Linked DNA regions of Diceros bicornis minor. The protein of the gene in region 1 purifies or fractionates together with the protein of each later gene. This does not show direct contact. Links are inferred from orthologs where the notes say so. Each region holds a gene or a part of one and is shown on either strand. Other genes may lie near its edges.

The links. Proteins that work in one complex are often made in the same cells at the same time.
Region 2: the proteins of BAG2 (region 1) and LUZP1 purify together in Homo sapiens (affinity purification with mass spectrometry; 3 studies listed by BioGRID and IntAct, with this or other methods). This does not show direct contact. The link is inferred for Diceros bicornis minor from reciprocal best matches to the Homo sapiens genes BAG2 and LUZP1.

What each region holds. Positions count from the first base shown.
Region 1 is NC_080753.1:10,219,848-10,226,893, forward strand, and holds the start of BAG2 (BAG family molecular chaperone regulator 2), read right to left. Parts: upstream 3,016-7,046; 5' UTR 2,946-3,015; coding exon 2,833-2,945; intron 1-2,832. UniProt on the Homo sapiens protein: Co-chaperone for HSP70 and HSC70 chaperone proteins. Acts as a nucleotide-exchange factor (NEF) promoting the release of ADP from the HSP70 and HSC70 proteins thereby triggering client/substrate protein release.
Region 2 is NC_080752.1:39,714,486-39,722,007, forward strand, and holds the start of LUZP1 (leucine zipper protein 1), read right to left. Parts: upstream 3,015-7,522; 5' UTR 2,942-3,014; intron 1-2,941.

The DNA of each region.
Region 1 (7,046 bases):
GAAGGATCGCCTTTTTAGGAGGAAGCAAAAAGGGAGATGGGTTGGAGTCAAAAAAGAAAGGCTAGTGTCGTCAAGTTTAGAAACAAATGGAATTTCTTTAACGATCTGTAGAATGCTGCCAAACATTTTAAAGCATTTTAAACATCAGGTACACCAGTTCACAGGCCAGGTCATAAAGCATTTAGCATAATTCTGTTTTCAGTTTCATATGGAAGAAGTTTTCACCACAGCTGACAAAACTAGTGTGGCTGGGGAGCAGTAAATGCAAGCCTCTAAGTGCCAACTGCACCGGCTGACTCTACCCCGTATGCGGCGTGATCAGCCGTCCGTAACATGAAGTTAAACTATTAGAGCAAAATTACAGACAAATATCATGTTTTCTTTTAAATACTGATGTTCTAGGCCTGACTCTAGTCTTGAACAGTGTAGCGCTCTGGACCACTGCCCCCGTGGTTTCAAACAGACTTGAATGGATCAGCATTAGCCTTTTCTCTATTTTTGCTTGCCTTCTGAAACACTTCCTTAGTTTCCAGTCAGTATTACTTTTTTTAAAGGAAGAAACAAAGCTTACAAAAGTCTAAAATTACTAGAAAAGTCCTTAAAATGACCAATTAGACACATATTGATCAGGCCTTCCTAATGTGGAAGACGACGTGAGTGGAGCCATATTAAAATGGAGGCAGAGCAGCCATTTCAGAGAAATTGCCTGGCACCGGTCTTGTTTTCTTCGTCTTCCAAACTGGACCACACCGCCAACATTGCAAGAAGTCAGTGTGGACCAGAATATCCCGTTTGTAGGGACTGATGAAACTGGACTTTGCCAATGACCGAATCACTAACCAATCAACGAAGCACAAGTCTAGCCTTCTGCCTGATGACCGAATCTCGAGCCAACCTCTGAAGTACAATCCTAGCCTTCCCTCATCCAGCATCAGTGAACTCTTCCTTAATACAACGCACCTGTCCTCCTCCCTTTTCCCATAAAAGCCCTGAGCCCCTCTCCTGTAATCAGGACACTATTTGGGTTTCTACCTGGACCCGTGCTACCAGAATTGCAATTCTTCGATCCCAAATAAATGCTTTGCCTCGTAAACTGGGTTTTGTTTTTGTAGGTTGATACTCCTCAGGTCAAGGGTTAGTTAAGCAAATTATAATTTAATCACTTGTACACAATAATCAGAATTCATTTTACATTAGTCGAACACTAGACTATAATAAATACTCAAAACCAGAGGCTTTCTTTTCAAGATGAGTGAGCACTTGACTGTTTTTGTACCTACCACATGTGAGAAATTAATCCAAGTTTGAGGACAATGACTCAGCTTGAAGGAAGGAGGGGCAACATCCTCCTCATTCCTTTAAGAAAAAAATCCTTTTTTTCTGCTGAGAGGAGAGAGACTCCTGAATTGGTGGAGAACATGCCCTCAAAGTTGTAAAGCCCTGGGGGAGACGTGCCCTGGGGGAGACGTGTGAGTTACCTCTTACGCTGCTACAGAAAGGGAAATATTATCAGAGGGAAGTTAAGCAGCTGAGGGCAGGACCTCTAGTTCTGCTCCTGCTTCTTCTGGGGGTGGAATGCAGCAGGCTCAACCACGGGGAAGCAATTCTCTGCTGCTGTTCCATGTGTCTCATTCTGAGCAGAACCCCAGAACGTGGTTTTGGCTCTGGTTTCTCTATCTGTTGCCATCCATGAAATCATTGTGGAGGGAGAATTTCTCATTTTCTGACTCTTTCCTCCGGGTAATGATAATAATAAATGCCTCATTTGCTGAGATATACTGTGGTTATTAATGCTCTTTCCTGGCAAATAGACACCTCTTCTTGTTCTGGTACACTAATTGAGGGGGATAAAGGCATATATGCATTGCTTTTTGAAATTGTTGGTTTACACACTCCTTTGCTCACCCAGAAGCCGGTAAAAACTATGGAAAAAAATTCTGTGCAGTTTCAGGGGATTGTGGGTGCCTTAATAAGATTTTCATTTAACAACACCTGCACACATTTACACAACTTTAGTGACAAATGTTTACAGAAAGTACATAAAAGTTTCCACACCCTGTAAAAGGAACAGTGTTTCCAAAATTTATCATACATTATTTAGAAATGCTATACAAGCCTACGACTATATTAATTACTTAATAAAATCTTAATGAGTTGGGGGGGGGACCTGTGACTATCTTGTGCTTTCAGGCCAGTGACTGGCACTTTCAAGAAGGTGGCGGCACAGAGTCTCCTGTGGACGGAGGCGCACAATCCACCGTGAGGCTAACGGAAGGGCTGGGCACCGCATGCGGGGTTAGGCGACACGGAAGCTGCAGGGTCTTCCTTCCACAAAGCACCCAGCTGCCGTCCCCCCGCAGCCCCTCGTTTGCCCTCCTCCTCTCTAATCCTTGCCATCAGATGGATTCCTGGATTTTTAATTTTTGCTCTTAAGTGTTCTGGAGCAAAGAAACGGATCATTCACATCAGGGACCACTAAGCTGCTGCCTCTCTTAAAAATGCCTAATAGGAAAAGAGTAAGTTAAAAACATCTGGGAAGACCATATACCGGCACACAGAAGGTTCTAGAAGTTCTGGAGACCTGGAGTGTCACAGTCCCTAATCCGAACCAACGTCACCAGAACTTGCATCTTCTGATTGTTCTCGGCCCCCAAACGCTCACGTCCTGCCCGAGAGCGTGGCCACAGGAACGCGCGCGCAGGTGTGGCTTAAACCGAGCGCGCTCTGAGCCGAGCCGCGCCGCGCAGAGCGCCCCGTCTCCACCGACAGCACGTGTCAAGCCGCCCAGCCGCCGGGACCCCCACGCCGGGCGCGGCCCGGGCCGCCGCTCACCTGAGCTCCAGCTGGTCCAGGCTCTCCAGCAGGCGGCTGGAGCGGTCGGCCATGGAGGAGGAGCGGCAGAAGCGCCCCTCGTTGGCTTTCGCGTTGATCTTCGCCTGAGCCATCTGAGCCTCCGAGGCGGGGCGGCCGAGAGGTCACCGGGCTCCCCGGCGGCGCGAGTGGCGAGCTCGGCGGCCGCAGGCGTCGCCGTCACCGCGCGGGGCGCCCGCCCCTCTGACGCCCGCGGGGGGCGGCCCGAGGACGCGCCGACTCCGCCGCCGCCGCGTGGCCAAACAAGGGCAGGCGCGCCGGCCGCGGGGCCGGGGCAGCTCGCCGGCCAGGGGGGCTCGGGGTGGGCCGCCAGGGCCCGGGGCCTGAGGAGCGAAGCCAGGGGGCCTCCGAGCCACCTGGCGGGACGGGCGCACAAAGGGGAGGACCCAGCGTGTCGCCGGATCCTTCTCTCCGGCCCTGGCACAACAAACCGATGCGGAGACCCACGGAACACCCCCCATCCCTGCCCCGTGAGGCCGCGGCCCTCTGATGCCACCAGCTCCCCCCGCGCGAAGGTGCCAACGCTAGGGTGGGTGTGTTACTCAGAGACGCCTTCCCACGGTTTCTCCCGGCACCAGTAATTCACAGCAGACAGAAACGTTCAAGTCCTGTGATGTGGGGAGAAGAGGTCCCTTTGTGGAACAGGTGGCATTTGAGGACCGCTCCTAGGCGGTCTAAACTCGCCTGACCTGTCCTGTTCGTCACATTCCTGAGATGAGAAGAATGAAACCTGGACACCACCCCACTGAAGCTTATAGAGGAAAAAAGGAAAAACTACCCCATCTTGCTCTATCTGGATGTAGTAGGAAGCAAGGTGAATTTCCCTTATTTCCACCTATTCTGCTGAAGGGATTTTTGACTTTTCCTATTAAGAAATTATTCCTGTTGGCATTTGAGTGAAATAATTGGTATTAAGGCCATTTCACACCCAATTTATTTAAATCTGTTAAGAATGAAAAGATGCAGTAGGCCACTAGGTCAGACACCATAAAGGTCAGCAGAAGTGGAAAACGGCTGGGAGTACAAAGATTATCTACTTAAAAACTTGTGCTTTGCTCCCATCTCATTATAACTACATGCCTCATACTGCGAGGATGAGCATGTACAAGGCACATAAAATGATACATAATAATGGTTTAAGGTGAATCACAACCTTTAATCTGAGATCCAAGTTATTTATATGCTTGAACAGAGATGAGGCCCTTAAGCCTGGATACTGATTCCCTCTGTGAAAGATGACATGAGTGGAGCCATATTAAAATAGAGCCAGAGCAGCCATTTCAGAGGAATTGCCTTGCAGTCTTGTTTTAGCTTCCAAACTGGACCAAACTGCCAACATTCCAAGAAGTCAGTAAGGACAAGAATATCGCGTTTGTAGGGACTGATGAAATTGGACTTTGCTGATGACCAAATGGCTAACCAATTATGAAGTACAAACCTAGCCTTACCTCATCTAGCACTAATAAATTGTTCCTTAATACAACTTACCTCATCTTCCTCCCTTTTCCCTATAAAACCCAAGTGCCTCTCCTGTAATCGGGACACTATTTGGGTTTCTACCTGGATCTGTGCTCCCTAAATTGCAATTCTAATTGCCCAAATAAATATCTGCTGTTTGAATTCAGTGAATTTTTCCTCTGTCAACAGCTCTGAACTCAATCTAAATACTAATAAACTATTGGTGTAGGGGATTATTTGACCTCATCAAACATATTTTGTCATATCACGAAGCAAACTCGGAATCCAAAGACATTTTGTCAATGGTTTGAAAGTCTATCAAGTAATTTTGGAATCATCCTGGACTCTCTGTCTCTCATATCCTAGATCCAATCCATAAGTAAATCCTGTCAGCTCTACCTTCAGACTACATCCAGATTCTTCTCTCCAATTCTAGTGCCACCACTCCGGTCCCAGCCCCCATCAATTCTCACCTGGCTTACTTCACTACCCTCCTATCTGGTCTTAATGCTTCTACTGTTGCCTCTCATGTATGTTCTCAGTACAGTGACTACAGTATCCTCCTAGATAAGGCAGATCACACGACTTATTCTCAGAAACCTTCAGACTCCTCATTTCAGAGTAAAAGCCAACCTAGGTCCTCAGAAAGTCCTCAAGGACTTCTCCTGTTAACCTCCTAATTCATCCTGCTCAGGCATACTAGCCTTCTTGCTTTTCCATGAACAGATCAAGCTCACTTCTAGACCTTTTCACCCTCTACCTGGAATTCTCTTCCCCATACATATTTGTATGGCTCACCCCTCACCTTCTTTAGGTCTTTGCTCAAGTTCACCTGGTCATCCTTTCTGACCACCGTATTAAAAATAGCACTATTTATCTTTCCCTTCCCTATTTTCCTTCATTACACTTATCACTATCAGATATACTTGCTTCTTTTCTATCATTCTATCTCCGCACGCACACACACCCCACTCCCCCGCCACGTGTATGCTCCATAGAGGAGTACGGGCCTGGTATATCTCAAGTGCTTACACAGTCGTTGGCACATGGTAAATAGTAAATACTTTGTGAGTGAATGAATAAATAAATGAATGAATGAAGTAACAAAAAGATAAGCACCTTTGTCAATGTTCAAAACATTTACTTTGATAATTTAATAATCCATATAACTTTCTGTAATATCCTCTGATTACCTCTCCCCCTTGTGTCTAAATTAAGTTCAAATTATGAAGTAATTTAAAAATGATTTTTAATTGCTTAACAAGTAGAAATACAATCAGTGACAATTATTAAGTAAAACAGTAAACAACCCAATTACGTTTTTTTAAAGGTCACGATGAAATATTCCTTTCCTGTCAAATGAAAAGCTTCAGTTACTCTCTACACTACAAAAGCTTAATAGAATGTCAGTGTACATCACACCTATGTGTGGCACCTCTGGCAAAGACGTGTTGTTTCCTCTTCCCTACATCTGCTTAAGCACTCTTCTTTCTGGAACGTCCTTTCTGCTCCTCACTGCTGAGGAAGCTTCTGCAGATGTCTTGAAGGTCTGGCTTAGTGACTACCTCCTAAAGCCTTGCTTGACCACTTTAACATACAAATTAAAGGTACAATGTGGTCATTTCGGAAAAATGACTGGTAAATTCTCAAAGCGTGAGGTCTACTTAAAAAAAATGCAAGCAGGTAGTACAGAACTGACATCTTAAGAAATAAAAACACAAAATGGTTTCTAATGTGAACTGAAAAAGACTATAGTAATAAAAAAACAGTAATGCTATTTCACACTAAAATATCTAGTTGCAGAGAAAACAAAATTCTAGCCATGATTTTTTTTGTCTTAAAGAAAAACTTATATTTATAGAAAATTTTAAGTTTGGTAAGTAATTACCACTCAAAATTTTAGGGATGACATTTCTGGTCAAATAACATGAAACATATACACAAAAATAGTTTGACAAGCCCTTCTTAGTCTTCTAATTATGTGATATTTTTTATTAGTCACAATGGGGGCCTCAACTTTTAAAAATTACATATGTAACACTAAATGTAGGAAACTGATAATTTAATGAATAACTAAAGTGAAGATACTTCCATATGAAATAAAAATTGTAAAGGGTTAAGGAAGATTACTCCTGAGTAGACTGTCTACATTATTTTTTGAAGAATATTACATTTACACAAATATATATAAAAAAGGACCAACATTATTAAAAATAAGTTTAACTCTATGCAAATATTTTCACGATTCTCTTTCAACAGTAGATAATACAAGTCACATAAAAGTCTAAGCAGGTAAAAGGAATGGAAAAGGTTTCTTTTTAATAATTTCAAAGAAGTTAGGGTTTTGTTGTTTTTTTTTTTTTATTCCAGCAATGTGCTGCTCTAATTAAAGCAGGACTATACATCTGAGTGAAATCCACCAAGAACTCTGCTGGTAAAATTTTTAATCTGTTTCATGATCAGTTTCCATTACTTTCTTCTAATCATCATAGACAAAGATCTCAGAAATATTATATATTATTAGTGCCACGATAAGTGGCATTGACAGAAAAACTGGGGTATGACAGCTTTATTTATATTCATTTTCACTCCTAAAAAAATAAAACAGAATCATCTGTACAGTACAAACAAAATTAAAGAACTACTGCCATTCGGGAAACATATAAACAATAGTCAAGAGCTTTTCTATTTTTTTTAAATTCTTTTAATCTAAATAT
Region 2 (7,522 bases), on another chromosome or scaffold:
TAGAAACCTCACAACATTCCCAGGAATCATTCCACTAACCAATACCTCAAAGATAAGACGCAGTTTAAACAAACGAAGGTGGCCATGGTGATTACACAACTGTATATATTTGTCAAAGCTCACCAAACTGCACACTTAAAATTGGTGAATTTTATTGTATGTAAATTATACCTCAATAAAGCTGATTTTTAAAAAAGAATGCATGTATCCAGTCATTCAGCAAGTATTTACTGAGCATCTATTATGTGCATCAGTGTTTACACCAAATTTTTAACCCTGACAATCTGAGTCCTACCCGTATGTAATGTGCTTTATCCTTAAGTTGACACTGTTCCAAAAGCCATATTACATGAAAAATGGTTCAGTTTCTGATCATGAATGTCACCTTAATGATGGCCTCTACAGTGGAAGTACCATTAGCTATCCATCATCCTCCATTACATAAATGAAATCTCTGATCACCCAGGTACGCTATATTTGAACACAAACATTTCCATCATAAGAAAAAAATTATTAAGCACCTCCATATAGGACATATCACTACCTCAGCCTCATATGTTTGTCTTTCTTCCAAAAACCGAGAACATCTCAAAAGCATACTGACAACATTGCTGGAAGAAAAGGAGGCAACATTACTGGGGAATAGACTTAATGGACTTATTCTACGATCCACAGTGACCCAGTGGCTGAGTCAAGGCTTAGAAACTAGGCCTCCTGATTCCCAATGCAGTGTGCCTAGCCGAGATAACCGCGGACTTTAGAAACAGACTTGGGTTTGAATTCCAGCTCCACTTCTTACGAGAGCCATGTGACTAAACGTGGGAAAGTCACTTTGCCTTCTGACCCTCAGTTTGCTCATCTGTGAAACACGGATGCCAACTACCACCTCACAGCATTCTTGTGAAGACTATACGAGATATATACCACTTAGCACAATTCCTGGGCACGGAGTAGGCAACTCAACAATATTAGTTCCCTTTCTTGGTCTTAGATTATTTAAGAGTAAGAAAATACCTATTAATCAAGGCTAATTCATAATCCCTATTAGTAATCACAGGACAACAATGAAACCGTATCTGCTGCCTTGTTCATACTCTAATCAATTCCGTTCCCATCCCCCCATTTCCAGTTTTTCAAACTTCAGTTGCTATGTTTAGAAAAGTGATTTAATTTTAGAAACCTGGAAAATTCTTCTGAGTAAATTGAGCAAAACCTTAATCTGCCCCAAGGGGAATTCTGAGCAAAATAATTATTTCTGACGAGAAGAATTTTCTATGGGGGTTATTCAGTTTAACCACACGAATGTTACCAATGCCACAAAGTGACAGAAAGCAATCTGGAACATACTGTACGGATTCTCCAAGGGGAAATCGTCTCCTAAAATCCAAACCCCTTCCTCTCTAATCTGAGGTCGTAAAATCTTCCTGGATGATCTGAATTCCCAGGCTCTGACACCAGTCTAGCTCCTTAGGCCAGAACCGCAGCAGTCTGTAAAAGGCCCTGAACAAACCCCACCTCTCAAAACATCCCCAAAAGGCAGGGAGGTCCAGAGAGCATTTTCTCCTCCATCGACAGATAAGGCACCAGGAGCTCAGAAGCACAATTCTTTCCCCAAGGTCATTCAAGCCAGTGAAGGCGCGACGGAGAATCTGCAAGCCGTCTCTGGCTTTCTGGCGATCACACTGCAGGGGTTTGGGGGTGCCCAGTCTCTTCCCCTCTCCCACCCTCGAGGGTGAGCACTGGTCTCGGCATTTCCGAAACAAGCCGCAACAAGCTCTGCAGTGTTAGCAAAGGGGCTGACGCGATGAAGAAACAGATGCTCCAAAGCGAGCTGGCCTCTCTCGGCTCGCAGAGCCTCCGCCAAGGTTATTCCCAGAAACCGCAGGCACCTCAGAGGGCTCTCCACCGGGCTCCGAACCCCCAGCCCGGCCGCCCCGGGACGCCGGGCGCCCTGCAGGCAGCCCCGGCAGCCAGAGGCCACCGGCCCCAGAAACCGCACTTCATTCCTGCGCTTCGGGAAGCCATGGCTCCTTCCCGGCCGGCAGGGGTGGGGGCGCGCGGGGAGGCGGGCGGCGCGCGCTGCGGAAAGTTCGCCGCGCCGGCGGGGGGCGGCCCCCGGCCCGGCTCGCCCGCGTCCCCCTGCAGATTCCACCATTAATTAGTCCTGAGGACTGTCTACTGGCAACTTAAACAAAGCGAATGCCTCGAATTCCTTCCCGGCCCGGCGGTCTGGCGGCGAGACCAGCAGCGGCCGGGACGCGGGCCGGCGCGCGGGCCGACAGCTGCGGCGGCGGGACCCCTCCCCGGCCGCCCGCGCCCGCAGCCCCGGCCGCAGCCCGTCCCGCACGCCGGCCGGGCGCTCCCAGCCTCCCTCCTCCTCCTCCTCCTCCTCCTCCTCCTCGGGAGCTCCGGGCTCTTCCTGTAAGATCACTTCCTTCCTCCCCGGGTGCCCGCGGGCCCCGCGCAGCCCCCTCCCCGGCGCCCCGGCCCCCCGCCCGCCGCGCCTCTCCCCGCCCCCACCGGGCCCGCGCCCCGCGCCCTCCCCCGGGCCCCCAGGCCCTGGACTCTCCGCCGCCCCCCCGAAAACGGCCCTCGGCTCCCTGCCCCAACACTTCTCCCCAGATTCTCGCTCCCACCAAGAAGTCTCTCCGAACCTTCCCTCCCCCTCCAGAAGAAAAATCTCCAACTCCAAAACATCTCTCAAGGTCTCGCGCCCCCACATCTCCCCTTCCGAGCTCTGCCCCCAACACCCCGCTCAAACTCTCCCCCCACCTCAACTCCACACCCCCCAGCCCTCCCCGGGTGCGCCCGCCGGCTCTGCCCCGGCGCCCCCGGTGCCCCGACCCCTCGGCGGGGCGGGCCGCCCCCTCCGGCCGCCCTCCTCTCCTCTCCTCCCGCCGGCCCGCGCCGCGCTCCCGCCGCCTGCCCGCGGACCCCTCACCTCGGCGGCTCCGACCGCGCTCCCACCCGCGAGGGCTCCGGCGCTCCGCTCCCGGCGGCCGGCGCCTCCTCCGGCTCCCCCGGACTGACAATGAGGGGCGGGCCAGCTGGTGACGTCAGCGGCCTGGGGGCGGGGCCTGCGGGCGGGGCGGGGCTGGCCGCGGCCCCGCCCCTCGGTCCTGTTCCCTCTTCCCAGGACTTGGACTCGGCGGAGTTTCCCAGCTAGGTGCCCAGGGCCTGTACTAGGCATGGTGGGAAATCGCAATGGACGACAAGACGTCCTGCTTTCACGAGTGGCACTCTCGGGGGGGGGGGGGGGGGTCGTGAGAATTAAATGAGATAATCCGTGTAAAGGTGTTTAGCCCAGGGCCTGGTATGGAGTAATCACTCAACAAATACTATTTCTATTACTCAGCAAATGCGGAAAAGGAACTCGGCGTGGTCTCAGGAGGCATGGGTTGCAGTCTCCAGCTCTGCTGTTAATTCATTGTGTGATCCTAGACAAGTCCTTTCCCATCTACGTTCCTCATTTTCACCTTCTTTAAATAGACTAGATGACCTCAAAAGTCTCTCCAATAATTCTATGACATACTTCCTGTGGGCCTACCATGTACAAAGTACCTAGGGCCCAGAGAAGTGGGAGGAGGCCTTTGAAGGGAGCCCAAGACCCACACCCAGCATGGTACAGGACACAGCCAGAGACACTCTCTCCCCGCAAATGCCCTCCCACATTCTGGCACAGAGCTGCATTCACAAGCCAGGACACAGATGCGCTGAGGGCTGCTTCCTCTCTGACTGCAGCAGCATAGCTCGTCTCTTGAGACATCTCTTGTGTAAGCTCCTCATTGCCTGTGGAATAAAGGCCAAAGCCCGGGCCTGGTCCAATCTCTTCCTACCTTTACAGACACACACACACCCACACACACCCACACACACACACACAGTAAAGTTTATCCAAACTTCCCCCAGCACACCCACTGCTTTCCCACGTCTGCCCCTTTGCTCATGCTCTTCCCTTGCTGTCTCATCTCAACTTACATCTCCTCCTAGTTTCCCCCAGCCAGAAGCTGACTCTCTGCTCTGAATACCCCTGGCATTGTGTTTAACTCTCATGTGGCGTGAACACATTTTGATGTATCAAATTGTCCTCTCGTTTGTTTCTTAGCACTTCCTCATTTCCTTGAGGTCAGAACCCACAAGTGTTTGTGGAGCTCAGGTTCCGATGCCAGAAAACACTGGAATCATATGCCCATGTTCTGGCCCATGTTCTGGCCCAAACTGAGCCTCCTTCTCCTCATCTGTAAAATGGGAATATTAACATAGTCCTTGTAGTGTTTGTTTTCATATTACAAAAAAACACTGTGTACAAGCACCAGGCAGTGTTCCACAAACAACGTAGTTGTCATTCTGATTTTCATCATTATTATTATCATCAATATTATTTCTAGCTCCTAACACCACCCAGCACCCCTAGTGATAATCCACCCAATCATTTCATAGTGGAAGACTCTGAGGTCCTGAGAGAGGAAACGGCTCGCTGACAGTGGCCCTGCAGAGCACTGCCACTGGCACAGGAACCAACACTCCAGTATCAAGACCCCAGGTGGATTCTGCAAAGTCACATCTGATGCCCCAGGGTGTCTCTGTCACTCGGCACCCCTCCAAGTTGGGGACGGCTGTGAGTTCTCTTTGCAGCAGGGCTGACCCGTTTCTCCCTCCTGCCTTTTGCCTCTCGCTTTCCTTACAGAGAGACAGATCTGTTTTAAATTGCCCTTGGCATCTCTGCAGTCCTCTAGGAGAGCTGCAGCATGGGCGTTTCCAGAGTGCTAGCCTGTGGGAAGAGGGAAAGGGCTTTGGGGTTCTGATTAATTTCCTGTGCTGCGGACAGACAAATGGCTGTCCTGAAATGCCTGGGCTGGTCCTCTGGGGCCCCTACCAAATTGTGGCTTATTTTTAGAGTAGGAGATTCAAAAATGCCACTTCCCAGGAAAAGTAGGCAAGGCCACAGGATTGCTGCAGGAAAAAAAAGGGGACCTTCTTGGAGTCCCTCCTATGTGCTGATGCTGATTCCAAGCATTGCAAACCTTGGAAGAGAGAACCCAGGACAGACACTGGAAGTTCTGAAGACAGAACTTTCTCCCCAGGACCCAGGACCCCATCAACCATTTATTCATTCATTCATAGCAAAAGCTTTGGCACAGGACAGATCAGGATTCAAATTTCAGCTCCACCACTTACCAGCTGTGTGACCTCGGGCTTTCAAGTCTCTGCACCTCAGTTTCTCATCTGAAAAACGGGAATAATAATAGAACCTATCTCCTACAGTGGCTGTGAGGATTAAATGAAATAACATGTGAGGGCCGGCCCCGTGGCTTGGTGGTTAAGTGCGCGCGCTCCGATGCTGGTAGCCCGGGTTCAGATCCCGGGCACGCGCCGAGGCACCACTTCTCCGTCCATCCTGAGGCCGAGTCCCACATACAGCAACTAGAAGGATGTGCAGCTATGACATATAACTATCTACTGGGGCTTTGGGGGGAAAAAATAAATAAATAAAATCTTAAAAAAAAAAAAAAAAACGAAATAACATGTGAAAGAGCTCAGTTCAGAGCCTGGCACCCAGTTCATGCCAGGATATGGTGGCTGCTGTTACTATCTCAACATGTCCTCTCAGTAAGGCCTCTTGTGTGCTGGCCTCTGGGCCAGAAGCAGGGATGATAGTCCTGAGCTCAAGAATCTCAGCTGGTAAAAAGAAAGGGGCAGATTTTCATGAACAGGCAAGAAAAGGTGTCTACTGGGGATTGTGAGATGAAACGGGTAAGTGTAAGTTGCAGAATTACAGGTGTAATAAGATCCCATAGTTATAACTTATAATATATGCTTAGTGTATGCATAAAAAATATGGAGACTATAGAGAACTAAATAGAAGGCTTTCACCTTTTTTTCTTTCTTTTTGCTTTGCTTTTCTCTGTGTGTGTGTGTGTGTGTGTGTGTGTGTGTGTGTATGTGTAGCAAAAATTTTCAAAAAAGACTCTACTAAACGCTCAGAAGGAAGAAAGGGGATGAAAACACAGCTACAAGACACACCAGCAGTGGGCATCTGAACCAACTGCGTATACAGCCATAGAAAGTTCCACGGGTCCCATCTCATTCTTCATGGCGTTCCAGAGAAAGCCTCAGCGCGGACAATTCTCCCCTTCTCCCCACTCCCCAGCCTTTAACTTGAACTTTCAATGCTATAGTCAAAGGCAAGATTCCTAACAGAACTCCCAGGAACCATGGCAAGGCCAGTAAGAGATTTTTAAGCAGGAAGAATTCTTTTTTGCTCCCTGTCCTGTGCCCCTCCCCCACCTCTCAAAGAACAACTATGTCAGCATCTGTGCCTCCTGTGCCTCAACTCACACTTTCATTTTTCTTCATTACATCTTTCTGCAATTTAATATCTTTAGAAGGAGGATATATTACTTGGTCATCAGAAAAAAGGCAATAAAGATATACATAAAAAGAAAGCTAACCGAGCTAGGGTAGGTTCACTTTTGTTGATTTGCAAACAATAAATTATAACAACGTGGTTGAGGCCAGGGCTAAGTCTCACAGAAATCATAGAAAGTGAGAGTGGGAAGGGAAAAAATTGCCCTCAATTTCTCCTACCATCCTCCAAATGGCATGATTTTAGGTCCCCTCGCATTTCAGGCCACTCACCAATAAATATAGTTCATTCAGCCATCAAGAAACACTTACGGATTCTTTACTATAAACCAAATATCATCCTGGGCACTTTTCTGATACCATCTCATATAGGTTATGGGGTCATTATTCCTATCTTGCAGATTAGGAAAACAAAGTTCAAGGAGGTAAAGGAATTTGCCCAAAGTTTCACATCTAGTGGGATCTAAACCAAGACCTTCACAGCATCAAAGTCCACTTCCTAAGGGTGTGGGCTGAATTCCGAAGCAAGTGAGCTGCGAACTCAGGCAGCCGTGATTGCCTGGGTGGCCCTGGCAAGTCCCTGAGCTCTTCTTAGCAGCAGTTTCCCCACCTCTGAGGGATAAGAGCATACCTGGATATTTTATGTAAGTTAAGTGCTTCGTACATTGTAATAGGTAATACAAAGGGAAGTCATTATGTCAGCTCTTCCGGGACTGAGTCTCACTCATCTTTGGGTCTCTTGGTGCTTTTCTCATTAGTGTTCATCCCGTTAATGTTTATCCCTCATTAAGGCATTTAGGACAGTCTTCCTTCCTTCCTTCCTTCTTGAACTCACATCATCCCCCCCACTGGCCTGGGGCCTCCTCAAGGACCAGAACGATGCTTATTCATTTCTGATCCCTTTCTGCCCCCAGTGCAACGCCTGGCATGCATCCCTCCATTCCTTCACTTTTTTATTTATTTCATAACAAATGGCCGAGAGCCTAACCTGTGCCAGGCACTGCACAGACTGTAAGACAGCAAAGGTCCATGCCTTCTTGGAGCTTGACTGGTGGGGAGGATAGACAAGACAACATTAAATACAACTCATCACTTCATAACAATTGCATGAAGTGCCACGCAGTATCAGGCCACGTGCTATGAGGGCTTGCGGGAT